Linked DNA regions of Xenopus tropicalis. The protein of the gene in region 2 interacts with the protein of the main gene of each other region in a pairwise test. Links are inferred from orthologs where the notes say so. Each region holds a gene or a part of one and is shown on either strand. Other genes may lie near its edges.

Region 1 (7,529 bases), on a different chromosome or scaffold from region 2:
CTTTTGTGTAGCTGCTATGGAGGGACCCTTTCCCCCATGAGGCTGCCTGAAGCTTCCACCTAGGGCTATGGCTGCGTGAGATAGAGCCTAATAGCTATATGTTACACCCCTAGTGAGCCTTTACGGGTTATATACACCCTCAGAATCCAAATGAAAAAAGGACAAAAGTGTAAGAACAAAAAAAGTGTGTTTTAAATAAATTTTAAAAAAAGTATATAATTCTGTGAGATTATAGCTGTGACCTTCAGCTAGAAATATTCAAATTTTCTTTGCCCAGCCCGAAGAAAAGAGCAAAAAGAAGACAAGTGTGGCATAAAAAATCAATGTACAATAATTCTTTACTGAACACTAGCTTCTTACCATGGCACTCCTGTGTTGGTAATCTGTAGGCACAGTGCACCTTAGGTTTTCTTTTCACCAGCTTCACATCCTGGATGGTACAGCCCATTGTGGAATTACCTCGAGGTAGCAAATAAGTAATCTAAAGGCGAACTTTATGTACTTGACAGCGCTCTCATCTAGAGAAAAAAATACATTTTCTTTTAATGTTTATAAAAACTCTTTTGCAGCCCAACAAAGTGAGAAATGAGGTTAAAGAGCTGCGTTTTTTATGTGCAGAAGATGAACAAAGCAGGACTTGTTGGATGACAGCATTCAGGCTTCTCAAGGTACATTTAGGTTTGATTGCTGAGGCCTGCTGTTAGAAACTTGGAATCTTCTTTGCACGTTTGACATTTGTTTGGCAACGTTCTAATAATGTTTACTCTAAATGCATTAATTACTTGTGCAGTAAGCAACTATCATATTATCCTGCTTTACTTCATTCCTTAGTATTGTACTGTAAAGTGACCATGTACAGCTATGCAAGAAGCCTTCTTTTATTTCTAAATTCACTGTATCTTTATTTTAAATCTTTCTAAAATTTCATTTTTGAATTGTTTATTCTTTTGCAGTATGGGATGTTGCTTTATCAAAACTACAGAATTCCACAGCAGAAAAAAAGCTTGCACACAAACTTTTCTACCCCAGTGGTATGTGTCTTTATTATCCTATAGTCTATCTAAATTAGAATTTTGTCAAATTTTTCCTTAAGTATATGACTGGTAATAACAGACCTTTTTATTTTTAATTTGCTCTTATTTTACTAATCAAATTCCACACCACCTCCCAGTTAATTTAAGTAGTGAACATATTTATTAAGTTTATTATATTACATGCATACATATGTAATTTGTCATCTGAATGCCTTGAAATTGTAACCTTATAAATATATTCTTCTGATATCAGAGAGTTCTATATCCATCACTTGAAAATCTCATAAACTTTCATCTTATACCACTGTCAGCTCCTGTAAGTGAAGATTGTGAAGAAGTGCACCTTGGCTTTGCAGTTGTTCAGCACAAGCCATTTCTAAAAGATATAGAATTAAGCTGGCTATACACTGCCAGATCTGGGCCTGAGTTTGCAATCCATATTCCGGGCCAAGGATCGAATCATACAGAGGAACGTACAGGCCATCAGATAAGGGCCACATCAGCATGCCAATGTGGTCCTTGTTGGACAGGAAAATCAAATAAATTTGGAAAAATATTTGGCCAGATATCAGTCGGGCAGGCTCAGCAGTGGGCCCCATACATGGGTCAATAAGCTGCCAACTGGAAGCACCAAGTCTGCAGATTTTTTCAACCCGTATGTGGGCACTTTTAGAACAAAATGTTTTGATGGATATGCAGGAAAACAATGGTTACATTACTGTTCTAGTTGATACTGCTTTACTTATGTGATTGAGGACCTTTAAGGGCATCATGTGATTTATTGTAATTAAAAGCCTGACCAATTTGTAAGGCTGATATGTGAGTGAAAAAGTTAGTCTATCAAAAACAAACTGCATTATTACTTTTTGATGTTCGCAGCAAAGAGCACAATGCATATTATAATTGGTGCAATATGGTTAGCCCTCACAATTGATTATAGGACATTTAGCATTTACGTATGACAACAATAGAAACCTTGAATGTGTAAGGACTGTATTTTGAGATCCACACTGTAAAAGCAACAGGCAGGTGTCGGAGATATTGCAACATCCAATGTTTAGATTGGTGTCCATTTTGCCTGCTTGACCTCATTTAGGTCCAGTTATTTCAGAAATTCCATTTAGAAGATGGTCCTAAAATTCTAAAGGTTTCCTGTCTTGCTTCATACACATATGTTTCTAAGATATTGTGATTTTTTATTTTGTCATTTTTTATCATTTTAGAGGAGTGTATCAGAAAATTCCTTAGTTGCAATGGATTTCTCTGGGCAGACTGGAAGAGTTATTGAAAATCCAGTAGAAGCACAAAGTGCTGCTATGGAGGAAGGCCATGCTTGGAGGGTAATTATCACTGTACTCACTAACACATGAGTAATGTTTCTAGGTGACAAGTAAAAAAATAAATGTTGTCTTTTCCCAATGATAATGCGAATAAAAGTTTGCTCGTCCCTAGTTAAGGCACTCTGCCACATATTAGCTTGAAAGGCAGTAATTAGTAATTGAGCACATCTAGCAGTAACTTAGCATGCTTAAAGGGGCATTTAAGCATAATTCTGTTTTTGTAATTTGTTGGTTAGACCACAGCTTAAGCATTTCATGCATGTCCTTAAAAAGTTTCCCTACACTGAACATTTTTTTTTAATTACTTAAATAGTTCATCAAACTTGACTGAATAAGTTTGTAACCCTAAAATGTGTAACTTGCATTTTTCTGCTTTAAATTGCATGTGTTTATTATTATTATGCCATTCTCATTTAGCATCCTCTTTCAGTTCTGCTTAACGGGAAGCCAGTTCCCTATAGCACACTTCAATGCTATTAAGCAAATATTGATTGAAAAGAAACAGTGCAAGGGGCTTAAGGAAATACTACTTAACCACTATGATCATAGTGCCCTAATACTTTGCCTTTAGTCTCTGTCTGCCCATACTCCCCTGCAGGTCATCTATTAGAATTATTTACTCCAACATTATATATAATAATCTGCAGTGCTGACAGGATGGAAAGATGGAACAAGGCAAATGGAGATGTGAACTTACAATTTGGATGTGGCAGGAAGCTCTACTCTAAATGATCCATAGCTTATATGAAAGTGTGTGTGTAACTGTACCTTAACACTCTGTGTGCTGAAAATGTAATGCTAATTAATATTCCACTGCTGGTACAAAAACAAATGTGTGTTTAATTGCAAAATAACCTTTTTCTTACTGCTGGCATGCTTTTGGAATTGGTACAATGTGAATGATATGATATTAAGCATTGCACTTAGCAGGTGATAGTGGCATATAGTGTATAATACTAGGAATACTTAGTTAGGTGTGGATAAGCTTTCCTATAGAGATCATTTAGAGTTAGGCTAATGCCCCACTGAAAGATTAGTCACCCTCTATAAATCCCTACTGCTGCGGGTGACTAATCTCCCAAAATGCCATTCCACCTGCAACAAATTGAATCGCTAGTGGAAAGGCATATGCGTTGCTTTGATTTTCCGAAGCTGCTCAGAGTTTCCTTCTGCAGGCAAATTCACACAACTTTGGGAAAAGAAGCGCCGATTGACTGGCGATTCACTTTGTTGCTAGTAGAAAGGCAAATCAGGGAGATTAGTCGCCCTTGATAAATCTCTGCTACCGTGGGGGACTAATCTCTCTGTGGGGCATAAGGTAATGAATGAGGTATTTAGAAGCAGATTCCCTGAAGAGGATATTTAATAAATGATGCCAGGGAAAGTCAGCTGTGTTAGTTGTTATGGAAGTACAGATTGAGCATTATCTGATTGGGTAATCCTTGGAGTTCTACTATTCCTCGGCGTCCTTGTCATCCTGGTGTTGCTCTTAAGTGACTTAATTATAGGTTAACGTAATAAAAAAAACATGCAGAGTTTGTACCTAGTCTAGTCACCAATGGAATCCAATAAAATATGCAGTCTTGTGATTAAATACAGTCTACTGATTGTTTGCTCGACCTGATGGAAACTTTGCAGATCTTATTGCTGTCCTTTTATCTTTTTCATGTTTCTTTGTTTTTGTTTTACAGAAACGCAGCTCACGACTGAATGTTCTTGGTAGCCAAAGTCCACTTCATCCTTCCACACTAAGCACAGGTAAACAACCCCTGGGCTTCAATTAATGCAAAAGTAAACCCTGTAAAGAACCTTTAGTTAAATAATAGGTATAAACCTGTAGATAAATGAGTTGCAACATCTGTTTAGAGAAACTGGCCTGGAAACAATACTAGTTGCAGGTTGTAAAATTAAACATTTCTGTACACCCCTACCTCTTGCAAAGCTAATAAAGGAAATGTCTCAGGATGAAAATAAAAAGCAGACCAAATTACACTGTATTTAGCATACAGATTGGGGGCTCCAAATGTTACATTGCGTGCCCAGCTTTCACCTTGCCTCAGCGGACATAAAGGGATTTCCTAGCCAGTAATGCAATTATAGAGTTTCTTAATGTGTTTATTCCTTTTTATTTTATAACTGCTTGCAACTTTTATATTTGTATGCCCTGTTGTAATTAATTGAAGTGTATATGTAATCATATTTGTATATTAAATCTAAAACTTTGAAGCTTTAAATCAGGGGTGCCCCAACCTTTCTTACTCGTGAGCCACAGTCAAATGTAAAAAGACTTGGAGAGCAACACAAGCACCATAAAAGTTCATGGAGGAGCCAAATAAGGGCTAAGATTGGCTATTAGGCAGCCTCTATGCACACTATCAGTTTACAGGCGCTTTATTTGGTGTAAATCTTGTTTTATTCAACCAAAACTTGCCACCAAGTCAGGAATTCAAAAATAACTACCTGGTTTGGGGGCACTGAGAGCAACATCCAAGGGGTTGGGGAGCAACATGTTGCCCCCGAGCCACTAGTTGGGGATCACTGCTCTAAATGAACCTATAGCCTGATAAAAGTGTAACTGTACATTATCTAGTAGAAATAAGTCTAAAACAACTGGACTCAGAAAAGTCCAGTTGTTTTAGACTTAATTCTACTAGATACTGTATATCATGACCTGGATGAATGAGAATCTTCATAGACGTAACTGTACATTAACTGTGTGCCAGGGCCAGAACTAGGGGTAGGCAGAAAAGGCACCTGCCTAGCCTAGGGTGCAATAACGGGGGGAGTGGGGGGCCCTAGGCAGGTGCTTCTTATGCCTTCCTCTAGTCTGGGCTTTCTTACCCCCACCACCGGTTATTGCTGTGCACTTCCCACCATGCAATGTCACTGCGCATGTGTGCACTCATTAACATGCCTGCCTCTGCTGTGTGCTGAAAGGAAAAGGAAACTCATTTTAATGCTAATTAGGCATTCAACTGCTGGCACAAAGTGTGTGTTTAAATGCAAATTAACCCTTTTACTGCTGCTATGCTTTGGGAAATGGTGAAAACTAATGTAAAAAAAATATAGAGCAATTATGCTGTGCTGATGAGCTTTTGGCTGAGCAGCTCTTAGCTGCTGACCTGGCCAGCATGTAAATGACCCCTTTTTTTAGTTGTCCACTTAAAGCATTGGTACATGTTTTGTTACCTGCGTTAAAGCACAAGCAATAACGCTACCAAAAATTCATGTAATTCCTGGCAATGTTAGTTGTTTATATAAAAAAATATAGAAAGAGATACAGGTATGGGATCCATTATCCTGAAACCCATTATCCCAAAAACTCTGAATTGCAGGAAGGTCCTTTTTCCATAGGACTCCATTTTAATAAAATAATTGGAATTTTTAAAAATAATTTCCTTTTCTTTGTAATAAATAAAATAGTAAATTGTACTTGACCCCGACTAAGATATAATTTATTCTTATTGGAGGCAAAACAATTCTAAGGAGTTTATTTCATGTTTAACTTTAAATCATTGTTTAGTAGACTTAAGACATGGAACTCCAAATAATGTTAAGACCCCTTATCCAGAAAACCCCAGGTCCCAAGCATTCTGGATAACAGGTCCCATACTTGAATCTGTTTGTAATATGTGTTATATTGGCCTTCTGTTGATAGAACTGCTACCATGCTTTTATAGATGCATACTACTTTCTGTGTTTATTGCAGCAACTTTTCTTAGGGTAATGTCAGGCTTTAATTGCTTTTGCTGGTTTTGACTGAAATTAGCACCATATGTATGAATTTAAATTTGGATGCTATTAAATAAAAAGGCAAGTCAGACATTAACCCAAGTGCACCCTCCCTGCATTTATTTACAGCCTGCTTCTGCTGCTTCTTCTCACACAGAAACACACCTGTATTCGTATCTCTCTTTGGCCAGATATAATTACAATTAAGTAAATCAATTCTTTTTAGGTTAAATGGGATTTATGCAGGGCTGTGGAGTCGGTAGATAAATTCTCCGACTCCTCAGTTTCTGATACTTCCGACTCTACGACTCCGACTCCTCTGTTTTTAATATGCTAATATATTTTATACATCCAGGAAGGGGAAGGGGCACTTAAAACACAACTGAACTGATAATAAACTGATAGACAATTTTATCTATACTCCTAATAATTTCCCTAGAATCCCATAGTCCTGTTTAAAGTTTAAGCTAACATTACAGCTGAATTACAGCAGTTTTTCAAATGTTTTAAAGCTTCAGTCTTAAAGGAACAGTAACACCAAAAAATGAAAGCGCTTTAAAGTAATAAAAATATAATGCACTGTTGCCCTGCACTGGTAAAACTGGTGTGTTTGCTACAGTAAAGCTACTATAATTTATATAATAAGCTGCTGTGTAGCCATGGGGGCAGCCATTCAAGCTGGAAAAAAGGAGAAAAGGTACAGGTTACATAGCAGATAACTGACAAGTTCTGTAGAATACAATAGTGTTTTATCTGTTATCTGCTATGTGCCTGTGCCTTTTCTCCTTTGAATGGCTGCCTCCATGGCTACACAGCGGGGTATTTATATAAACTATAGTAGGGTTTCTGTAGCAAACACCCCAGCTGTACCAGTGCAGGAATGGCTGCCCCCATACTACACAGCAGCTTATTTATATAAATTATAGTAGATTTTCTGAAGTAATCGCACAGTGCAGGGCAGCAGCACATTATATTTTAGTTACTTTTATACACTTTAATTTTTTGGTGTTACTGTTCCTTTAAACTATTGACTATCCATTCCCTTCACGTATACAGGTATAGGACCCATTATCCAGAATGCTCGGGACCAAGGGTATTCCGGATAAGGGGTCTTTCCGTAATTTGGACCTCCATACCTTAAGTCTACTAAAAAATCAATAAACATTCATTAAACCCATTAGGATTGTTTTGCATCCAATAAGGATTATTTATATCTTAGTTGGGATCAAGTACAAGGTACTGTTTTATTTCTACAGAGAAAAAGGAAATCAGTTTTAAAAATCTGAATTATTTGATTAAAATGGAGTCTATGGGAGACAGGCTTTCTGTAATTCGGAGCTTTCTGGATAATGGGTTTCCGGATAAGGGATCCCATACCTGTTCAAGTATTTCTAGTCCTGCAATGTTTTTACTTAATTAGTTA
Region 2 (7,529 bases):
CCTGTATTTTCAGTCTTTTAAATTTTACCATCAGCTGTAACATACTGCACTTGTGTAATCATGCATTCCTCCTAAACAAGATTTACCTTACTGCTATCTTTCAATTTAGGTGGTAAGCTTTATTCTGGCATTCAACCAAATGCCTTGTTGGTAGGGTCACTGGTTTTGGTAACCAGGCATTTGCAAGAATGACAGAAAGCAAAAAAAACCTTTAAACTAAAACATTATCTTCTTATTCCAGCACTTTAACATCATATAAATATTATAGGTATGTATTTGCTTTGGCTGAACACATACCTGCTGCATCTGTTCGTATATATATGATCTTGCTTTTGGCACCATGAATATGACGGCTCTCCAGCATGGTCAAGGTAATAGCCTTCACATAGATTGCATATTGTGTCCAAGGCTTCAGTCCCTGCAGGAGGATTCCAGGGTCACTTTCCTTGCTGGCTGGGAGGTCCACATCAACCATATTCCAGCTGTTGGATCCACATGCATCCTGACCATCATACTCTGTTACATTATGGAAGAGTCTGAAGTGTAAGAAAAAGGAAGCAGAGACATAATCAGAGGAAAGCCTAAAAGCTAAATGCAGCAAAATTGGAAATTTGGAAGCTGTGTTGTTTTTGTTTGGCTTACAAGAGATATAAGCTTAGCTGAGAAACAAAGAAAACTGCAGTTAACTGGCTACTTATTAAAATGCCCATATTGTATGTGAATGTCATAGGGACATTTAACTGTTAACTCCACTGGGGAAGGGGCTGATTAGAGTGACAGACAATTTTTGAAAAGAATTGTGGAAATGTGTTATATATAAATAAAATAATTACTTGCTAGATCTTTTCACCATTTAGATAATACTAGACATCTAACCATTCTGCAGCATTAGTACCCCTAGACAAAACATTTACTGTCTTATCATTAACCTGTTCTGATACAGAAGTCGCTTGTGTCTAAGGATACTATGCAATGTGAATATGGACTAATATTCTAATCACACTTTATATATATTTATAGTGTATAAGCTGGGCCCTAGATCTGGTGATTAACATTACAACCAGAACATGTGAATCAGCAGAAAGATGTAAAGCATTCTCCAAGCCACAAATATATTCAGTGTTAAAGGGATGTGATGGCTTTGTAGGCTGGCACAAAACATAAGAAGCAACATTCCTAGCCTAATATATTGCAGAGCATTATCACTTAAACCTCATTTTGCTCTGCCCTTTATATAAAAGGACAGAACACCTAGAACAGATAGATGGTAAAGAATGCTGCATTGCTGATATATATCCAAGAAGCAGCACTAACTATAATTTAATCTATGCTTAGCTTTTTACACCTTTATTAGAGGAAACCATTATAGATCAACCTTTAACTGACAGTTCATCCTTGGGTAAGTGCAAGCGCCACAGGAATATGGTTGTAATGTGGGACTCACGCCTCTTTGTAGTAGACAGTGAAGCTGATAAGGTCTCTGTAATCCGGTGGCCTGTAGCGCTCCCATGTAAACTTAATCCGGTTCTTACTTGTGATTATGGAGGTGAAATTTAAGACGTGACTCTCGCCTGTAAATGAGACACATCGTACATTGGTGGGAAAAAACTTCATTATGTTAATTCCTATAAAGCATTTTTTTTAGTACAAAAAAAAACAAAAAAAACCCCCAAGAAGTAGATTTTAGGGCAATGACACGAGTCGCGGTAGCGACTAATCTCTGAATGCTTTCCTACTAAATCGGAAAACATGTGTCAGTTCGGCTTTCCAAACTTACCTTGCAAGTTGGGCGACATTGGAAAGCTGAAGCAACATATGTTTTCCTACCAGCAATTTACATTATCGCCGGTAAGAAAGCATTCAGAGGAGATTAGAGCCAGTAAAGATTAATCATGGGGCCACTAATCTCCTCATGTGTCACTGCCCTTAGTGTAAGCAAAATAATATATAAACTTTTAGAGCACCTAATTAAATCCCTTCAAGAGCTTTATCTGGCCTCTATCAGGACTGCATTGTTCTAGAGCTTGACAGGCTCACTTACAAAACAAAATAAAGTGCCCATGTTTAGGCTTCAAGTACATGGGTACATTTTTACACTATGTTATGATTCAACCCGAACCTTAGAAAAGGTAGATACAGGCTCAGTCCACATTCTCCTGTTTTATTACAGCTAGGAAAAACATTAGTTAATTTAGTGCAGCATTATAATAATAGGGCCTGGCTAAAGGCCACATTTATGTGTTGGACATAAATGTGGGTTGATGATAAACTACTATAGGATATGGTAGGCCATATTAAGGGCAGTCCCAGAAGGAAAAACATATTGGTTTCATTAAAAGCAAGTAAGTGCTCACCCTTAAAACAACTTGGCCTTTAAAATAGGAGACCCACCCTTTTTTGAAGAGCTTCTACAGAGACAAGCACTGCCTGGTTGAGGAATGCTAAAACCATAGGGTCAGACTACAAGGTGGTTCTGAGGCACAAGATACTTACATGAAGCCATATTTCCATTAGTACTAAGGCTGATGTCCTCTGCAGTCTGCCTCCCTTTCGTTCCAGTTACTTCCTCCATGCGGTAAATCTCAGAAGCGCAAAGCTTGGAGTTGAATGCAAAACGTATTTTGCCCTCTTTGATAGTGAGGTTGTGCTTCGACCAGTCCCACAACTGCTGTAGGTTGTTATTGTCAAAGACGTAAAAGGAATAATTTCTGAAAATTAAAAACAGGAGGCCACAAATTAACAAGCACACATTAGTTTTATGCCATGAGCTAAAATTTATTTATCTATATTATTGCCACTTGTCTGCTAACATATAGGGTATTCTTAACAAATACAATCTCAAAAAAATGGTGCAGGACACATTTCTGTTTTAGATTTTTAACCCCACTAAAGAAACAATTTTCTTTCAAGAGTTAACTTTGCCCTGTAAAAAGAAGTTGTAGCACAACTAGCTTCTATATATTACACCAGAAATACTGGGGACAGTAGCAGACAAGGAGCTATAGATTAAAAATGACTGAGAAGCAGCTTGATTTTATATAAACCAATAACATAAAATACAATAAGTAGCACCAGTCAGTGCTGTACCAGCTACAAGCAGTCAACTTGCACAGGGCAGCAGGTGACACAGACAGAAGTATAGACAGAAAATAGATAGATAAAAAATAGCATAGACAGAACATAGAAGTTCAAATGAGTATTTAAATGTGGCTGACTGTGAAGAAAGGCAAATGAGTTTGTGCAGTTTTGTACATATAAAAGGAAAGTATGCTCAACTGCACCAGCAGCTGAATAGCCACAGACTGCAGAGAACGCATACCATGTACAACACAGCAAGCCTTAATGATTTGCCCTGTGGGTTGTAACAGTGTGCCACTGCCAGCTGCTATTGCCGTTACCAAACTGTTAACAACAGTGAAGACCTGCCTGGCCCATGTTCTAGTGTTTCCCAAAGCCAGTTCAGGAATAGACTCTGAAAATACAATTTGAGATATTAGACTTGTGATCATTGGTAACCAGAGAATGGCCTTTTCCCATTTGGCCAAACAGTTCAGCCTTCACAGATCAATGGCCAGATTTTCCTTCTATGGTCTTGGTTAGCCACTAACTTATGAAACCCTACCTGCCTTGGCATTACTATATGTGATCCACTGTCTAAAGTAACAAACTAAATAAAGACATTAAAAAAACTTAATTATGGTTAGTATGCCAGAAAAAAGATATTTAGGAGAAGCCAGAACCATCATCCACTTATGTGATGTATGATGTATGAATATCTTCTCACTCTACAGCGTCAGGGAAGAATCAAACTGCTGTTAAAAATTTAACATAGAAAATAACATATTTATAAAATCCTGGATTATAAGAAACATGGGGGTCCGCAGCCCTCAACTATTAGCTGGCAGGAAGCTGGATGGAAAACTTACTATATATAAGAACTAATGCTGCAAAGACTTCTGTAAATTTAGAAAGGTGAAGCAAAGCCAGAACATGGAGCTCAGCTGTGGCCCTGGCGTAGCAAGAGGCCTGCATTGTACGCATATTTGCAGCATCTGGCGCAAAATGATCCTACACAAATTGATATTTTTTTTTGATCTGAGGTAAAGAGCTCTCCAAGCTCAATAGCATGACATCATTTTTATTGAAATAAGCCCAAAGCTTGGATTTTCTACATACAGAATTTTAGATGTAAATAAAGTGATGGATTTTACATGACAAAGGGCGGTATCAGATTATCTAAACAGGGAATTATTTATTCCACTTTTTAAACGTTTAAAATATTAAATTTGGCAAAACTGACAGAACATTAGAAGAAAAAATAGACTATGTGTTAGGATTTTAATGTCAGCTGATGTAAGATGCAGAATTTAAAAAATCCTTGACACATTCCTATGAGTAGCTTGAGAAATGAAGTAAAAAGCAGCAGAGATGCCAGGAATTCCTTGTGTAGGAAACTTAATCCAAGCAGGTCACATAAACCAACCGATACAGTGCTTTCCCAGGACCTCTAAATCTACTTCCCCAGAACAGGAGCCCCCTCGTCCCTCACCCAAGACTTCATGACAGAGAACAGGTTTGTCTTGTGTGTTGGAGTGAAATGATAAACCAGGAGAGAAATGGAATGTATCCAAACACTGGCATTCCATCGCTCAGAAAAATAACCAATAACCCCTTTTCTGCTAGAAGGCCCTTCTCTGACCAGGGGGAGATAATTGGGCAAGAGGTGGCAGGGATAACTAGGGAAACACCTCTAATTTGTGTCATAAGGAAACATAGAGTAAGGAGCGCTTTAGGGGAACAGGCGCCGGGAGGAGTCACGGAACACATCCGGGGGGGGGGGAAGATGACTCTAAAAGCAGGGGGATTTGCACAGGAAAGTGAGGGGGGCCTAAAGTTGATCTGGATCAGTTCTGCATTGTGAGAAGTGAGGGAGGAAGGTGTAAGAGTAGCTAAGTTTACATGTAATGGAAAAACCCTACTGGGAATGGGAATGGAAAGTAATAAGAACCTTTATGAGCAGAGAAGTCTGTTGGGGAGCTGCAGGAGGAGCAATACATAATATTACACACAGAAGAAGCTGTAAACTCAACAACAAGTAGAAATACCAAACACGTAGGGGTTTTACTGCAGTGTGGGGTTTAAGTGCAAATTCTTAGGCTAATATAGAATATAGAACTGCGACTGACTGAGTGGCGATTTGTTTTTAAAGAGTGGCGGCGACTAATTGCCCCTTATGGATAGAATAAGTAGCCCTGAGGAAACATAATCAGAAATTTCTTCTTATATAGAATATATAGACAAAAGATGGGAGTAAAGTTGGCCACATGTGGGCTGACGACTCTTCCAGACAAACTTGCCAGCTTATTAGCAATGGGAGCTGCCCGGCAGCCTACCAAACTAATAACTGATATATCAGGCAGGTGAAATAGCTCTGTAAGGCATGGACTACATTGGCATGCTGGTGCTGTTATACATACTTTAACTGGGAGATTAAAGGTGTTCTAGCTAGATTTCCTAGATATAGATAAACCTTTGCAAGGGATAATTATTAACTGCAGTAACCATGATTAGCACCACAGACTTGTATACAGTTAGGTCCATAAATACTTGGACAGAGACAACTTTTTTCTGATTTTGGTTTTGTATATTACCACAATGAATTTTAAATGAAACAACTCATTTGCAGTTGAAGTGCAGACTTCTTTAAGCTTTAATTCAGTGGGGTGAACAAAACAATTGCATAAAAATGTGCGGCCACTAAAGCATTTTTTTTTTTTTTTTTTTTTTAACACAAACCCTTCATTTCAAGGGCTCAAAAGTAAGTAGACAATTGACTCAAAGGCTATTTTATGGGCAGGCGTTGGAAAGTCTGTCATTATCAATTAAGCAGATAAAAGGCCTTGAGTTGGTTTGAGGTGTGGTGCTTGTGGATGTGCATGTGGAAGATTTTGCTGTGAACAGACAACATGCGGTCAAAGGAGCTCTCTGTTCAGGTGAAAGAAGCCATCCTTAAGCTGCAAAAACAGAAAAAACCCATCCGAGAAATTGCTATAATATTAGTAGTAGCAAAATCTAGAGTTTGGTACATCCTGAGAAAGCAAGCAAGCATTGGTGAGCTCAGCAACGCAAAAAGACCTGGACGTCCACAAAAAACAATTGTAGATAATTGTAGAGTCATTTCCATGGTGAAGAGAAACCCCTTCACAACAGCCAACCAAGTGAACAACATTCTCCAGGGGGTAGGCGTATCGATATCTAAGTCTACCATAAAGAGAAGACTGCATGAAAGTATAGAGGGTGCACTGCAAGGTGCAAGCCTCTCATAAGCCTCAAGAATAGGAAGGCTAGATTGGACTTTGCTAAAGAACATCTAAAAAAGCCAGCACAGTTCTGGAAAAACATTCTTTGGACAGATGAAACCAAGATCAACCTACACCAGAATGATGGCAAGAAAAAAGTATAGAGAAGGCATGGAACAGCTCATTATCCAAAGCATACCACATCATCTGTAAAACATGGTGGCAGCAGTGTGATGGCTTGGGGGTGCATGGCTACCAGTGGCACTGGGACACTAGTGTTTATTGATGATGTGACACAGGACAGAAGCAGCCGAATCAATTCTGAGGTGTTCTCAAATCCAACTAAATGCAGTCAAACTGATTGGGCAGTGTTTCATGATACAGATGGACAATGACCCAAAACACACAGCCAAAGCAACCCAGGAGTTTATTAAAGCAAAGAAGTGGAAAATTGTTAAATGGCCAAGTTAGTCACCTGATCTTAACCCAATTAAGCATGCATTTCACTTGTTGAAGACTAAACTTCCGACAGAAAGGTCAACAAACAAACAGCAACTGAAAGTTGCTGCAGTAAAGGCCTGGCAGAACATTAAAAGGAGGATGTCCATGAATTCAAACTTCAGGCTGTCATTGCCAGCAAAGGGTTTTTTTTTTACCAATATTAATTTGTCAAATTACTTTTGAGCCCCTGAAATGAAGGGTTTGTGCTAAAAAAAAAAAAAAATGCTTTAGCGGCCTCACATTTTGATGCAATCTTTTTGTTCACCCCACTGAATTAAAGCTGAAAGTCTGCACTTCAACTGCATCTGAGTTATTTCATTTAAAATTCATTGTGGTAATGTACAGAATCAAAAAACAAAAAAGGGTGTCTCTGTCCAAATATTTATGGACCTAACTGTACATCAGCCTGCTACCAAGAATACATTGGACAACACCTTATGCAAATGCCCTATACATATTCTTTCCCAGCACTGGCATATTGTCAACTACTCACCCAGGCATTTGCTCCTCTCCTAGGATATAGCGCAGACTTTTCAGGAAAGAGAGAGACACCAGTGCATGGGAGTGCCGAATCTTGACATAGCCGGTGACTGTCTCTATCAGACCCAAGAAATTCTCCAACTCCGAAGCAATATTTTCTGTAACAAGACATCATCAACTTAAACCTTAAGAAAATAATATGATTATATAAATGTTGGTTTGCTTTTTTTTGTATTAATTCTATTTGTG
Region 3 (8,097 bases), on a different chromosome or scaffold from region 2:
CAGTCCTTTTATTATTGGTGCACTGGTAACCTGATTAAGTACCTTGTAAGAACCAGGAAGTTAGAAACATGGAATAGCTTCAGTTCCTGGTTAGCTCAAGAAATAAAAATATATGCACTCATTATTACATTAAAAATGCGTTATCTGTTTGTATGGCATGTAGAAATAAACTATTTGTCAAGAAACAGCCTATTTTATCTGAGAGCAATTAAAGGCATTTGACATCTTTTTATGTCTCTGTGTAAAGCTGGCCACACATATCCTTATTTAGACAGGCAGTTTAGCAAGATTTGACTGTTAGCTTGGGGGCTGCCCCTGGGGACACACAGCAGGGTATTTATATAAACTATAGTAGGGTTTCTGTAGCAAACACCCCAGCTGTACCAGTGCAGGAATGGCTGCCCCCGGGGCTACACAGCGGGGTATTTATATAAACTATAGTAGGGTTTCTGTAGCAAACACCCCAGCTGTACCAGTGCAGGAATGGCTGCCCCCGGGGCTACACAGCGGGGTATTTATATAAACTATAGTAGGGTTTCTGTAGCAAACACCCCAGCTGTACCAGTGCAGGAATGGCTGCCCCCGGGGCTACACAGCGGGGTATTTATATAAACTATAGTAGGGTTTCTGTAGCAAACACCCCAGCTGTACCAGTGCAGGAATGGCTGCCCCGGGGCTACACAGCAGGGTATTTATATAAACTATAGTAGGGTTTCTGTAGCAAACACCCCAGCTGTACCAGTGCAGGAATGGCTGCCCCCGGGGCTACACAGCGGGGTATTTATATAAACTATAGTAGGGTTTCTGTAGCAAACACCCCAGCTGTACCAGTGCAGGAATGGCTGCCCCCGGGGCTACACAGTGGGGTATTTATATAAACTATAGTAGGGTTTCTGTAGCAAAGTAGGGTTTCTGTAGCAAACACCCCAGCTGTACCAGTGCAGGAATGGCTGCCCCGGGGCTACACAGCAGGGTATTTATATAAACTATAGTAGGGTTTCTGTAGCAAACACCCCAGCTGTACCAGTGCAGGAACGGCTGCCCCCGGGGCTACACAGCGGGGTATTTATATAAACTATAGTAGGGGTTTCTGTAGCAAACACCCCAGCTGTACCAGTGCAGGAATGGCTGCCCCCGGGGCTACACAGCGGGGTATTTATATAAACTATAGTAGGGTTTCTGTAGCAAACACCCCAGCTGTACCAGTGCAGGAATGGCTGCCCCGGGGCTACACAGCAGGGTATTTATATAAACTATAGTAGGGTTTCTGTAGCAAACACCCCAGCTGTACCAGTGCAGGAATGGCTGCCCCCGGGGCTACACAGCGGGGTATTTTATATAAACTATAGTAGGGTTTCTGTAGCAAACACCCCAGCTGTACCAGTGCAGGAATGGCTGCCCCCGGGGCTACACAGTGGGGTATTTATATAAACTATAGTAGGGTTTCTGTAGCAAAGTAGGGTTTCTGTAGCAAACACCCCAGCTGTACCAGTGCAGGAATGGCTGCCCCGGGGCTACACAGCAGGGTATTTATATAAACTATAGTAGGGTTTCTGTAGCAAACACCCCAGCTGTACCAGTGCAGGAACGGCTGCCCCCGGGGCTACACAGCGGGGTATTTATATAAACTATAGTAGGGTTTCTGTAGCAAACACCCCAGCTGTACCAGTGCAGGAATGGCTGCCCCGGGGCTACACAGCGGGGTATTTATATAAACTATAGTAGGGTTTCTGTAGCAAACACCCCAGCTGTACCAGTGCAGGAACGGCTGCCCCCGGGGCTACACAGCGGGGTATTTATATAAACTATAGTAGGGTTTCTGTAGCAAACACCCCAGCTGTACCAGTGCAGGAATGGCTGCCCCCGGGGCTACACAGCGGGGTATTTATATAAACTATAGTAGGGTTTCTGTAGCAAACACCCCAGCTGTACCAGTGCAGGAATGGCTGCCCCCGGGGCTACACAGCAGGGTATTTATATAAACTATAGTAGGGTTTCTGTAGCAAACACCCCAGCTGTACCAGTGCAGGAATGGCTGCCCCCGGGGCTACACAGCAGGGTATTTATATAAACTATAGTAGGGTTTCTGTATATGTAATATTTTTATTACTTTAAAACAATTTCATTTTTGGTGTTTCTTTTCCTTTAAACATGTGGTATATTTTTTTTAACTGCAGGTCAGTGTGCCAAGGGTCCCCTGTAGAATAATTGCAGCTTGAAGGGCCACAGGCAGCCAGCAGCTTCTGAAACAAATACAATATCACTAGGCCGGTATGAGGCTGTACAGGGGCCCTAGAGGCAAAGGGACAATGGTGTAGGCCACTCGGTCAGCCTGACAGCAAAGGTCCCGAAGCACACGTTACAATCGCCCAAACTATTGCTTTATCGAAGCAGTTCATTGATTATTTTCACAACACCATTTTATTGAAATTGAATAAGCTAGATTTTTTTTTTTTTTCAAAGGGGGTGGGGAAAGATAAGCGGACGACAAAATGGAGACTGCAGCAGGTTAGACGCCTTCATTCCCCACAGAATGCACAATAACACATTCTGTATACCCCACGATTGAGAAACTCAATAATACTCATAACTGTGTCAGGGCAGCTTAATCCCCCTGATTTCTGCCCAAAAGCCCCGCAAAGTGTCGCCTCAAACCCCCTACAAGCTGACACTTGCCTCCCCTTCCCGCCCAGACGCGCTTCCTCCCACCCCTCCTGCTAAGACGGTTGACGTCATCTCCCCGTTGCCGAGGAAACGATGAGGTCACCCCGCTTCTCCCCTCCCTCCAGTGAAGCCGCCAGTGCTTGTTGTACTGTCAGGAGTTTAGAACTGAAGGAGAAAGGTGGAGGGGAGGGGCTTGGAGGCGGGGCTTGAAGGAAGCGGAAGTGGCGGCTGGAACGGAAGTGGAACGGCCAGTGAATCTGCAGGAGAGGAGGAGAACGGTGAGGGAAGCTGAGCTAGCCCGGGTCGAATTACTGAATCTATTGGCAGGTCGCGGATTTTTGAGGTACGTGCGATGGCAGAGAGCGTAGTGCATTCGTGTGGGAGATGGCGGCCATTCTATAGCCGCCTATGGGGTCGCTCCTTACAAGGGCGGGGATCTGTGCGCGGCCTGGATCCCTTTCCCCAGCGCCTGGGGCTCAACATCCGCTCGCTTTCCCCATTGGGGCCCCCTTAGTACCCCACACCCTCCGATGCGCAGGGTAACCTCGCCCGATCCGTAGGCCTCTTTCCGACCCTGTCAGCCGTATTATCCCCAGCCCTGCCCTTACACAGCTCCCAGCATTTCCCGTTACATGCTTTCCCTGTTAAATGGAAAATACGTATATAATTAATAGACTTTTTTTCTTTGTTATGGAAAACCTATAACCGCACATTATTGATTATTTTTTTTTTACCCCTTAATGTCATTCGTTGCCGGTGCCCCAAAGCTTTTTGTAGGCAATATCTCATTTAACCTATAGACGTCATTGAAACAGCGACACCTAGTGGCCAGATGCTTGTATAGTGTCACAAAGCAATACCGCAATACTGAAAAAGCACCAAGATAGTCCCCTGTAATTCGCTGCAGAAGAGTGTATACAGCCAGCACACACCTTATATACAATAGGTTTCATATACATATACAATGTGTTTCATAATATCAATCAGGAAGTGATCTCTTTATTTCTGCAGCAGCAGGAAGTGGCAAATCAGGGAAACAAATGCTCCATTTGGGGATATCTACAATTATACAGGATCAGCAACTCTATGGGGTGTTTATTTGTAGCCTTTCCAAGCCCTGATCTATATGCAGGCCTATTTATCATTATCTACACTTTCTAGGCAGCCTGAGGGCTACAGTTCACATACACTAGATCCCAATTACTGAATCCGGTAGCTAAATTGTCATGCAAACCAAGAATGTCATCTATAGTTGTACATTACATTAACATTTATTTATAAAGCGCCAACATATTCCGCAGCGCTGTACAATAAGTGGGTTACATACATTGGACATACAGAGTAACATATAAAGCAATCAATAACTGATACAAGAGGTGAAGAGAGCCCTGCCCAAAAGAGCTTACAATCTACAAGATAGCACTGCAACTAGCAACATCCTTGTACAGGTATGGGATCCCTTATCCGGAAACCCATTATCCAGAAAGTTCCGAATTACATAAATGCCATCTCCCATAGACTTCATTATAAGCAAATAATGTAATAATAAAACAGTACCTGTACTTGATCCCAACTAAGATATAATTACCCCTTATTGGGGCAGAACAGCCCTATTGGGTTTATTTAATGGTTAAATGATTCCCTTTTCTCTGTAATAATAAAACAGTACCTGTACTTGATCCCAACTAAGATATAATTACCCCTTATTGGGGGCAGAACAGCCCTATTGGGTTTATTTAATGGTTAAATGATTCCCTTTTCTCTGTAATAATAAAACAGTACCTGTACTTGATCCCAACTAAGATATAATTACCCCTTATTGGGGGCAGAACAGCCCTATTGGGTTTATTTCATGGTTAAATGATTCCCTTTTCTCTGTAATAATAAAACAGTACCTGTACTTGATCCCAACTAAGATATAATTACCCCTTATTGGGGGCAGAACAGCCCTATTGGGTTTATTTAATGGTTAAATGATTCCCTTTTCTCTGTAATAATAAAACAGTACCTGTACTTGATCCCAACTAAGATATAATTACCCCTTATTGGGGCAGAACAGCACTATTGGGTTTATTTCATGGTTAAATGATTCCCTTTTCTCTGTAATAATAAAACAGCACCTGTACTTGATCCCAACTAAGATATAATTAATTCTTTCTGGAGGCAAAACAAACCCATTGGGTTTATCCAATATTTAAATGATTTAACTTAAATTGTGGAGATCCAAATTACAGAATGATCCCTTATCCGGAAAACCCCAGGTCCTAAGCATTCTGGATAACAGGTCCCATACCTGTATAACAAAGGGTTGCTGTGGGCCCTTGGGCTTATCATTCAGCCACTAGAAGGTAGTTGGTATTTCCTAAATAAAGTTGGCACTTATCTGGCTTTGCAGATAATGGATCTTTCCATTATTTGGGTCACCATACCTTGAGGCCTGCTAAAAAATAGTTTAACCATTAAATAAACCCAGTAGAATTTTAGCTTAGTTCCCATCAAGTACACAGTACTATTTAATACAGAAGAAAGGGATCTCGGTAAAATACATTTGAATTATTTACTTATAATGTGCTCTATGGGAGATGCTCTTCCTGTAATTCGTAGGTTTTTGGATAACGGGTTTTGGGTTAAAGGGATCCTATACCTGTTCCAATTTATCCATCTAGAGATATGAGTATATGCCCATATAGTGAGATGATATACAGCCATATAGGAAAAGGTCTGCCAATCTATACACACATTTCCTGATCTCCCATGTAGCCCCTAAGCCGCGCTTAATCAATACATTTCTTGGCTCCTTATTCAGCTGATGGTCAGTATTGATCCCTGACAAGCTGCCTTTAATCCTGCTATGACTCCCATCCATATTTCATGTGTACAGCTCTTAAAAAATCAGAAGTCTATCTCAAAAGTCTATCAAACAAAGGCATGCTTGGCTATATGAATAATTAATAATGGCACGTTTAGAGTGAGAATATAAACGTTCTGCCCAGTGTGCCTTGCCATGATTAAGCAGTTTGGTTCTGGAGTGCTGCATTGCATTCTATGTACCAGCAGAGTTTATGCCAACAAAACATTTTTTTTTTTAAATTCTTCTAACGTTTTAATTGCTTTTTTCTTTTACTCAGGATTAGCACTGTGGTTGCATATTTGCTCTGCATACCCTTCTCATTAGAAAATGTGCTTAGCTTGTTTGTACGGATCCTTTGTGCCGGGTTGTCTATAGCCTCCTTGCACCAAGAAGCTCGGCTGTTAATTGCATACATGACATTGTAGAAAATCCTTTCACAGCCAATATTGCTAATTACCTTTGATCCGAGCCTCCAGTTCCGAGGCAGGCCAGTGGGTGGCAGTGTGCTGCATGTGTGTGACACAAGAATGCCTCTGCTTATCTGATTTTCTACAAAGTTGTCAGTGTAGGGGCCTTTTTCTCATGAACACACCATAACTAATATGCATTCAGTATAGCCATGGCCCTTTAAAGTTGATTTTCATATACCCTTCATTTAGAACCTTTTGAACTAAAATACAGCATTTGTTAAAATACTTGACCTTTTCTTTTTCAAATAGTTTATTAAACATAATTTTAATTTGGCAAGATTTCCAAACAAGCTAATCTTTACCTGATTCGGGGAGCAATGGAAGACCCATCAGGACGCCCCACTTCCCAATCACTTTTATGGCAGTTACTGCAAACTCACAATATTTGCCGGTTTGGCCTGCGGGCAGATTAGTTGGATAAACACATTTTCACATGCCCTTTAGTCCTGCAAGTTCTTAAATGTGGGACTGGACCACTAGTGGGGATCCAAAGAAGTGGATGCAGGGGGCATCCAGTATCTGGAAACCCATTATCCAGAAAGCTCTGAAGTACAGGAATGCCATCTCCCATAGACTCTGTGTTAACCAAATAATTTACATTTTTAAAAATGATTTCCTTTTTTTGTGTAATAATAAAATAAAGTACAGGTATAGGATCCTTTATCTGGAAACCCATTATCAGTAAGTTCCCAATTACGGAAAGGCCATCTCCCATAGACTCCATTATAAGCAAATAATTCTAATTTTTATAAATGATTTCCCTTTTCTCTGTAATAATAAAACAGTACCTGTACTTGATCCCAACTAAGATATAATTACCCCTTATTGGGGCAGAACAGCCCTATTGGGTTTATTTAATGGTTAAATGATTCCCTTTTCTCTGTAATAATAAAACAGTACCTGTACTTGATCCCAACTAAGATATAATTACCCCTTATTGGGGTAGACCTGCCCTATTGGGTTTAATTAATGGTTAAATGATTCCCTTTTCTCTGTAAGGGTTGGCACACGCGGCGGCGCGATTTCCCGAAATCGCCGAAAAAGACTCGTAAGGCTTTTTCGGCGATTTGCGCGAAATCGTTCCACCGCGTGTGCCATCCCGCCGGCGACTTACATTTTTGCCGGTGGGAAGGCAACTCGGGGAGATTAGTCGCCCGCGACCAGGGAGTTTTGTCGCGGGCGACTAATCTCCCCTTGTGCCAGAGCCCTAATAATAAAACAGTACCTGTACTTGATCCCAACTAAGAAATAATTACCCCTTATTGGGGCAGAACAGTCCTATTGGGTTTATTTAATGGTTAAATGATTCCCTTTTCTCTGTAATAATAAAACAGTACCTGTACTTGATCCCAACTAAGATATAATTACCCCTTATTGGGGGCAGAACAGTCCTATTGGGTTTATTTAATGGTTAAATGATTCCCTTTTCTCTGTAATAATAAAACAGTACCTGTACTTGATCCCAACTAAGATATAATTACCCCTTATTGGGGCAGAACAGTCCTATTGGGTTTATTTAATGGTTAAATGATTCCCTTTTCTCTGTAATAATAAAACAGTACCTGTATTTGATCCCAACTAAGATATAATTACCCCTTATTGGAGGCAGAACAATCCTATTGAGTTTATTTCATGTTTAAATGATTTTCTAGTAGACTTAAGGTATGGAGGTTCAAATTGTGTAAAGACCCCTTATTCAGAAAACCTCAGGTCACGAACATTCTGGATAACAGGTCCCATACCTGAAATACCACTGAAGCCCAAGGAAGCTGCTTTTTTTCTAACCTCTTCTTATGAATTCATGATACAAGCCTAAGTGATGTTCTAAGGCAGGGATTTGCTGCTGGAAACCCACAGACCAAATACAGCTTACATTTTATGACCCCAGCCTAATTTTGATACAATCTAGCCTGCAAATGTATTGTCCATCAAATAACCTGCTCCATGGAGAAAGTTAGGCATCACTAATCAAGCATTTATTAAGATGTAAGGGCTATGGCTCATGGGGCAGTGGAGGTTAAAATACCCCTCTCCGCCTAGAAACTGCTTCCCATAGAGAGCTATAAGAAACACACTAGTTAAAGCCCATTTAATGATGGGAAGGCAGAAACA
Region 4 (7,991 bases), about 10 Mb from region 2:
CCAGCATCATTATCTGCCTATTGTCAGCACCCAATAATCATTATAGATTTACAGGCTGAATATTTATGCGTTCCTTTCCAATGGCTCTTGTATATAAACTAGTTTGCCCCTAGGCTTATTGTTCCTTTAAGTTGTATGTAAAAAAAAAAATCAATATCCTTTGTATTTATGATGGCAGCCTGTCAATAACAAGCCCTGAAGCCGTGCAGGCCAGGAGGGGTACTTTAGGAAATCTGCCTCTTAATGAAATGGATTTCAGATACACTCAAATTATCTCTCCTTCTGATCATGCCTGTCTTTATATACTATATATTCAGTTATTTTGTAACACATTATTGTATATTTCAAATGCTCAGCAAAATATAAAGCCATGGCTGTTAATGATAGAGTTGCTTGTCATCACTGGATGGTTTGAACCAAACAATAGTAAGGATGGAAGGAATGATTCCCCTATACATTGTACTGTGTTCTATAGATCTGTAAGACCATCTCAGTGCAGACTGTCGCTCCCCCTGCCCCTATGAATAATAGAAATGAGCTTTTGTTTACTTTTTTTATGCAATCATTCATTATTTATAGTGCAAGGCTAATTAAAAGAGACAAGTGTATTCCTTATGCATCATGATTACCGAGCTGGCAAAAATCAAATCATGGAGAAGGAGGAGTGTGGGGCTCATTACGCAGCAGGGGCCGTTAATGAACCAGTGAAAACCCAATGGCACGGGCCCTGCAGGAAAGTGTGCTGTACTGCAGCAGTGCTTAGAGGCATGGCCAAACTGCAGTCCTCCCAGAATGCACTGGCTCAGTGACAGCTCAAGCGCTGCAGGCTCCATATCACTACGTAACACTGTGTGGAGAAGATGCTTTGTAGCAATGTTGCTAAAGGAAAGCTTAGTGCCGGTTGATATGGACCCTTGAAGTAGCAACTGTTATACTGCTGAAAGTTAGTTTGCACCCAACATGTCTCCTCTGCATGTTCTCTGCAGCCCAATGCTTTCTGGCTGTAGCTTGGTAACATGGCAGAGGGCTGAAGGGGGTATCCTTGACACCAATTATCCCTATCACTATGAAGTAAATAGTAGCTCTGAAACACATGGGCATCCCTTGCTTATAGAGCTTATAATAGGGAAATTGGAATCTGAAGAATAAAGCTTGGCATTATATCAATACATTATTTCAATAAGGGGTATAACTTCCATTATTTTCCATGAAATAGACAGCATGAAGGCACAGCTTTCCCCCTACATAGAACATTCCCTCTCTGCAAATGTGCATTTTTGCATTCATTAGTGGCTATTTAAAGCATTTTGCCAGAGGGATGTGTTTTGGACATCCCTGGAATATTGAGACCAGGGCAGGGAGAATGAAACACAAAGTACCAAGTGGAACATGGAGCATGAATAGGAAACTGGGGAACTGAGAAAGCCAGACGTCAGGAGAAGAACATGGAGACTGAAGGGACATTGAGGCTGCTCTGTTAGAAAGATATACAGGCATCACGGCAGCCTCAGTGAACTCTAGAAAAGAAATTGCACTGAGTAAAATGACAAAGCATTACCACAGCCATGCAAGCATTGTATTGGGTACTGAGATGTTCATGAGTCAGAATAACAAGACAACAATCCCTTGCACAGAGTTTAGAGCATTTGAAGTTCACACTATTTTTAATGACCTACTGCCATCCCTTTCAGCTTGGAGACGGGCTTGTTTGCTTGTTGTAGCAGGGCAAATGTATTTCAGCCTGCCATATGTACCCACAGAGTGAGAGACATAGCCGGATCTCCACTGGTATGGGACTAATGGTCCCATGTTAAACTGATGCCACTTGGAGTTTGACTAGCTACTCCTGCCAAATGGGGTCAACTGGCATCTCAAATGTCTTATGATATAACTATGGGGCTCTAGCACCTCAAAACAGCACAATAGAACAGTGGCCCTTAATTAAATGCAGAGTAGTGAATGGGCAAATGTTTTGGGAGAAAGCCCTTCTTGAAGAAAGGGATTGTCCAAACAGCTTTGCACCTACTCTGTTCTGCATTTAATAAAAGTAGGAGATAGCCACCTGCTCAAAAAACTGCCATTCGTCTATTTTATGCTATTTTGACGTACCAAAACCCAGGAGCCCACAGGCACAGCCAGTAATAAGCTACAGTACTGAGCAGTAATAACCTTAGTTTTTTTGGGGGGTCTTGTATGTACTGAGGCCTACAGTTCATGAACCTTATGGGAACTGATGGTTTATGGTGGTATCCTGCATGTTTAGGGGTAGTTTCATTATACTGACAAAGGCTGGCCAATCAGCTGTAATGTTTGGTTTAATAAAACCTGATTTTCTTTGCATTTTATAAGAGATGTAAATATAGATTCATTTTAAAGTACAGGTATGGGATCCCTTATCCAGAAACCCATTATCCAGACTGCTCCGAATTACAGAAAGACCGTCTCCCATAGACTCAATTTTAATCAAATAATTCAGAATTTTAAAACTGATTTCCTTTTTCTCTGTAATAATAAAACAGAACCTTGTAATTGATCCCAACTAAGATATAATTAATCCTTATTGGATGCAAAACACTCCTATTGGTTTAATTAATGGTCTATTGATTTTTTAGTAGACTTAAGGTATGGAGATCCAAATTACGGAAAGGCCCCTTATTTGGAATACCCTTGGTCCTGAGCATTCTGGATAACGGGTCCTATATCTGTATTCAAAAAAAGGGCAGAAAGAGGTACGACTCAAACAGGAAAAAAGTAACTAAAGATCTTAACAAAGATCTTAACGATCTTAATAACAAAGTTAATAAAGTAGAGGATTATGGGTGAAAAAAGGAGAAAAATAGCAAAAAAAGAGAAATGAGCAGAAAGTGTCTGGAAAATATGGCAGGAAAGACATTTAAGGCAAATTAAAGTCAATTATTCATCTCCTTCCTTTGTATTATATTGTGAGTACATCTTTAGGATCTCTGAAACCTTGGAACCTGGGGTTTACCGGCTAAGGAATCTTATCTTTAATTTCACATTAACTTTTAATATGTTATATTTTGTTGTTATTGCCATTTTTTTTATTATTTATCTTTTTATTCAGCCCCTCTCATTTATATTCCAGTCTCTCATTCAAACAATTGCCTGGTTGTTAAGGTAATTTCGATCCTATCAAACAGGTAGCTACTGAACTAAAAGTTTAGCCCAAAGACTTTTCTCTACTCAAAATGCCAAAGATCACCTTCACAGGCCCCTACTGATGGCAATAGAAATCAAATGGAGATGCCCGAGAGCGTGCAGAATAGTGTGTTTATCAGCTGTGCTTGGTGTTTGCAATGGGGGGATTTGGGGTACCTTGATGCCAAGTAAGAAACAGCCCCAAACTGCTCTGTGTATCACAGACCCAATAAAACAGCGCCCTAATGTGATCAAAGCCTGGATAACCCCTTTGCTTAAACCCATATATTTACCTATATCCCATACTGGTCAGTATAATGTTATTTCCCAAGTCACATTTCCAGTGAAATCTCTAAAAACACCAACTTTCTCTGTAGCACCTTGTGCTGTTCCTATACCACTGGAAACAACTGACCATTTTATAGGCTTTTTACAGTTTACAGTCTGACTGAAACTTTTTACTGAAATAATGAAAGTTATTGCCCACTCTTCCTACCAACAACAGCTGCCCCCTAGGCCCATGTGATGCATAAGGCTCAGAGCAGTCACCCCTATGTGAGCTTACCTGCTTTACCCACTGTACCTAGCAGATATGTTGTAGTAAAACTAACTACACACTTGCAGGCTGATACACCAATCCACAGCTTACTGCCAACCTGTATGGTGCCAAGACCACAGACTCTCTGGCTGGCAGCTCATTGTGGTTAGATATCAGTCTGGAGCACAGTGTTGACACTTTCTACACCCTATGGGTCTGCATGGGACAGGGCTGCCCAACATGATCTGATTATTGACCTATTGCCTGCCACTTTGGTGGCCGTATCTGGCAATCAGCACTTTGTTAGGCAACCTTGGCTATGCCTATGCTAGTCTGGTTTAACTGATAATAATAGCAATAGGCAGTGGCATAGCTAGAAGGCATTGGGCTCCAAAATAATGTGAAGTACCCTTAAGTGTAGGAATAAGCCATTTTCATAAAGAAACCCGACAGTTACAGGTATGCTCCTTCTATAGTTACACCCATGGCAACAGGAAAAAAAACTGTTGTGTACTTAATTCGAGGCTGAGTGTGAGTAAGGAGGGAGCATCCTGAGAAGTTAGCAAGTATTCAGTTTCCAACAAATTACGGGGGGGAGTGCTTCTTCGTGATTCATGGCTGGGGAGGTATATATTTCTGCAAAAAACTGCAACTGCAGTTGCTCCACCCACTAAGGATGTCAAATCCCTTACAGTTTTAATTGCTTATACTGAACTGCCCATGAACTGCTAAAGGAGCTCAGACTCAATATTGCATGTCTAATCTGCCGGCATTTGCCTATTTATTTGAATGTTTCTCCCAAATAATCAGAACTTACTCTATACAGTTCAGTGAACGAGGACTGGCTCAATATGGTGCCCATTGGTAGGTTTCAAAACCATGTCCTTTTACTGAGTGGGTTAAACATATTCTACATAATGCTGCATGGTAGGAAATTTCATTTTAAACTGCCATTTACTGGAATGTGACTCCGAGAGGGAGAGTTTGCGTAGAAAGATTGGCTGTGCAGTTCCGTAACCTCACTGCTCATTAGTAGGAGAGTAGGAGCAGGGGAGGGGGTGCCGGAGAGGGACAGCTGGGCAGCTGGAGACAATCTGCATCCCTCTCATCTTCATTTAATGGAGTCAATGGGATACATGAAATAGATTCAGCTCAGAGAATGGGATGAGAGGAGAGAGCCAGGAAAGCGAGGGGTCTTAGGGAGAAAGTGAAAGGGATGCACAGATGCAAATAGGCAATAAGCAAATAATCCTGGTACATAGGGGGAAAGAACAGGTGTAACCAACTGTCAGATGGGAAAAAAGTAGAAGAGCAGACAAAAGTATGAAAAAGATAAGATATAAAAAGGGCAGAAGGACAAAAGGATAAAATCAGGAAAGAAAAGGAAAGGTGAGCATTTCATGGGAAGGGATAAGCAGAGATAGGATATGAGAGGGGTTGGGAGGGAATGGAATATAGTAAGAAAAGCAAGAAAACAAACAGAATAAAAGAAAAGCAGAAAGGAAGAGAGGTTGATGCTGAGGGTGGAGGCTGGTTGGCATAGAGGTGTGCGGGTAGCACCCGGGGATCCCCCTTACCTGCATGGTGACTGGGTGCACAGCGGAGCAGGGGGTGCTGCAGACTTGCTGAGGAGGCTGGAACTGTGTGTGTGTGACAATGGCAACTCGCAGCAGCATCTCTTCTCCTCCCAACCTCTTATCTCAGTCTCTAGGAAAAAAAAACCTCTTGTGCATTAACCGTTTGCTGCCTGTCAGTCTCATGGCCAACCCTTCATCCTGTGGCACTCACTCACTCACTCACTGCTGCAGAGGTCACTCTGTGTGTGCTAATGGGCTCATTGGAACAGCTTGCTCAGGCAATATGCTCTGCCCCATTGCCCCCCACTAGAGTCACACCTTGGGGTACTGTCAGTCCCCATAGAAGCACCAGCATTTTCATTTGGGCTGCACATACTGGCTATTTTGGCGGCAGCAGGGTGCCCAGTTCTATTAAAAAAAGTCATTGTTCTGTCTCATTATAAAAAATAAAAAAAAAATTGATATTAAATAACAATAAAATGTAATTGATGTGGCAAATAATCTACCATTATGGTAAAGTACTGTATGGTGATGTAACATTTTGATTTTGGATAAAATAACAATTAAAAAAAAATTGTGCCCATTGATACAGAGACACCCATTAAATTCCACAAACTACGAATAGGTTTTTTTAGGCAGCCAACAGACTATCACAATAGAAAATTAACAGATAATCTGCAGCATCCTACACCCACCCCCACATCTCCATGGTAACAGAACCCAAGTACTGAGGCCCACACATAGAGCGAGGGGGCCCTAATGTGCAAAATACCTTATTAACCCAAACCCAGCCACGAATGCACAGGGAGCAGCCGGCGCAGGCTCTGTTAGAAGGCGAGCTATTTTTATTGCCGTAAAAGAGACAAAAATAGATGAAGTTCTGGAAGCAGAGTAACACAATTCACACTCACACATAGGGAGTGAAGGAATGGTTTACTCTCCATAGTCCCTACAGAGCGGAGAGGAGAAAGTGGATGGGATGCTAGGAACTTTTCATATGAAGGAAGGGATTAATCAGAGTACAGAAAGGAAAGCGGCTGCAGACAGAAAGGCGTAACCTGAAATCCCCAGGGGGCAGACATTGAGGAGGAGGATTTAGAAAAACTGGGATAGTTTCATGGAATAGCAGCACAGCATGGATGGCTGGGGAGAGAAACATGTTGAGCTGCGTAGGTTAGATACATGCAGTGTAATAGTTTATTATGTGCAGAACTTTTCATTTTCTATTAGTACTCTTATGGAATTTTCTGGTCATCCAAAGAGACAATTCCTATTTGTTTTTAAATGCTGAAGGTTTTTTGTTTTCTTTCCTCCTCATCTTGGTGCCTGAGCAATATGATAAAGTCCATCTGATGGACTAATGCAGGGCTGTCCAACTGGAGGCCGTGGGCCGGATGTGGCCCTTCAAAGGATTTTTATGGCCCCCAGTATGTTCAAAGGCTCCATAGACTTCACATCATAAGGTCCATAGACTATATGACTTCATCATTTTAATTTAATCTAACCCCCCAACATGCTGTATGAGATATAATTGGCCCACTACTTGTATTAAATTGGACAGCTCTAGACTATGCCCAATATAAATATCCCAAATAACGTTGTCAATTTGAAAAATAAGATAGATGGACACACATAGGGTTACTTTTATAACTGCAAGGGGGTTTGCTATTGGTTCTGACCAGTCTGCCCTGATGAATCAGGTGCAAGTTCGACTTTTGATGCTGAGGGACCATGGAGTTGCTGCCACCTTAAATGTGTTGGTAGTTTCAGGGTCCCCCCAGCGGGTTCCATCAATAGGTGCACCAGGGTTGCACCAAAAGAATCGCATGCTAATGGCATTTTAAAAATGCACAGTGGAAATTGTGGAATACCCTATATTGGGAGGGCTGGGATTATTGGAGTTTACAATTTATTACAGGATTCATACTGGGATGCTTGATATTGTGTTTGCAAATGATCCCTTAAATCTGGGATTTCCAGGATTTCTAGTAGGACTGCACCAAATCAAGCAGAAGATAAGTATTCAAACACTGACACTGACACTGGTGCAAAGTACTGCTTTTTTAGGGTCAGTATGGCCAAGACCCCATTGGTGGAGATCTGGCATATCAGTTATAAGATACCTCACGCCTAGCAATGTTAGTGAGGGAGCAGTAGTAGTGCCCATGCCCGGGCAAGTGGTCTGTGCAGTCTTTGCAATGCACCTTTTTGCCTATATTTTGCACTTTGCATGTTGCCTGCGACTTCTTAAATGAGGTCTATTATCATCAAAAGCTCTACTTACTGAAATGATATATAATAGAGATATATCATTAATTATAATCACCTTAAAGAGAGTGCGGTTTATAAATATAAAATGGTTCTGTAATCAAATTGCAAACTTGCAGCAGGTCTAGTAACCCATAGCAACCAGTTGTTAGTAGGTAGCATTTACTGGTTACCCGTTTGAAAGCAAACAATGGGGCTGATTCACTAAAGTGTGATAACACTTATCCAATGCTTTTTTGCATTAAAAAGCATGCGATAATTAAGTCCTGATTCATCAGTCATTTTGCATGTGTTAAGACGCATATTGCATGCGCAAAAAAAAATCACAATGCATTATTTACCTTGCCTTGGGTTAATTCTCGCATAGAAATAATACTAACGCATGATTCACAAACACATATGAAGCGTTAAACGCACTAAATATCGCATAAGTCTGTGCGAAAAGTAAC

The links.
Region 1: the proteins of igf1r (region 2) and grb10 interact in a two-hybrid assay, tested with the Homo sapiens proteins (4 studies listed by BioGRID and IntAct). The link is inferred for Xenopus tropicalis from reciprocal best matches to the Homo sapiens genes IGF1R and GRB10.
Region 3: the proteins of igf1r (region 2) and ywhab interact in a two-hybrid assay, tested with the Homo sapiens proteins (2 studies listed by IntAct). The link is inferred for Xenopus tropicalis from reciprocal best matches to the Homo sapiens genes IGF1R and YWHAB.
Region 4: the proteins of igf1r (region 2) and kcnip3 interact in binary tests that used the Homo sapiens proteins (3 or more experiments, as listed by UniProt). The two-hybrid records come from large-scale screens. The link is inferred for Xenopus tropicalis from reciprocal best matches to the Homo sapiens genes IGF1R and KCNIP3.

Annotation. Positions count from the first base shown.
Region 1 is NC_030682.2:60,064,148-60,071,676, reverse strand, and holds part of grb10 (growth factor receptor-bound protein 10), read left to right. Parts: intron 1-569; coding exon 570-668; intron 669-953; coding exon 954-1,031; intron 1,032-2,257; coding exon 2,258-2,374; intron 2,375-4,065; coding exon 4,066-4,132; intron 4,133-7,529.
Region 2 is NC_030679.2:114,867,309-114,874,837, forward strand, and holds part of igf1r (insulin-like growth factor 1 receptor), read right to left. Parts: intron 7,439-7,529; coding exon 7,294-7,438; intron 2,709-7,293; coding exon 2,494-2,708; intron 1,572-2,493; coding exon 1,445-1,571; intron 537-1,444; coding exon 298-536; intron 1-297. UniProt on the Homo sapiens protein: Receptor tyrosine kinase which mediates actions of insulin-like growth factor 1 (IGF1). Binds IGF1 with high affinity and IGF2 and insulin (INS) with a lower affinity. The activated IGF1R is involved in cell growth and survival control.
Region 3 is NC_030686.2:12,510,037-12,518,133, forward strand, and holds the start of ywhab (14-3-3 protein beta/alpha), read left to right. Parts: upstream 1-2,919; 5' UTR 2,920-3,007; intron 3,008-8,097. UniProt on the Homo sapiens protein: Adapter protein implicated in the regulation of a large spectrum of both general and specialized signaling pathways. Binds to a large number of partners, usually by recognition of a phosphoserine or phosphothreonine motif.
Region 4 is NC_030679.2:124,875,409-124,883,399, reverse strand, and holds the start of kcnip3 (calsenilin), read right to left. Parts: upstream 5,426-7,991; 5' UTR 5,374-5,425; coding exon 5,275-5,373; intron 1-5,274. UniProt on the Homo sapiens protein: Calcium-dependent transcriptional repressor that binds to the DRE element of genes including PDYN and FOS. Affinity for DNA is reduced upon binding to calcium and enhanced by binding to magnesium. Seems to be involved in nociception.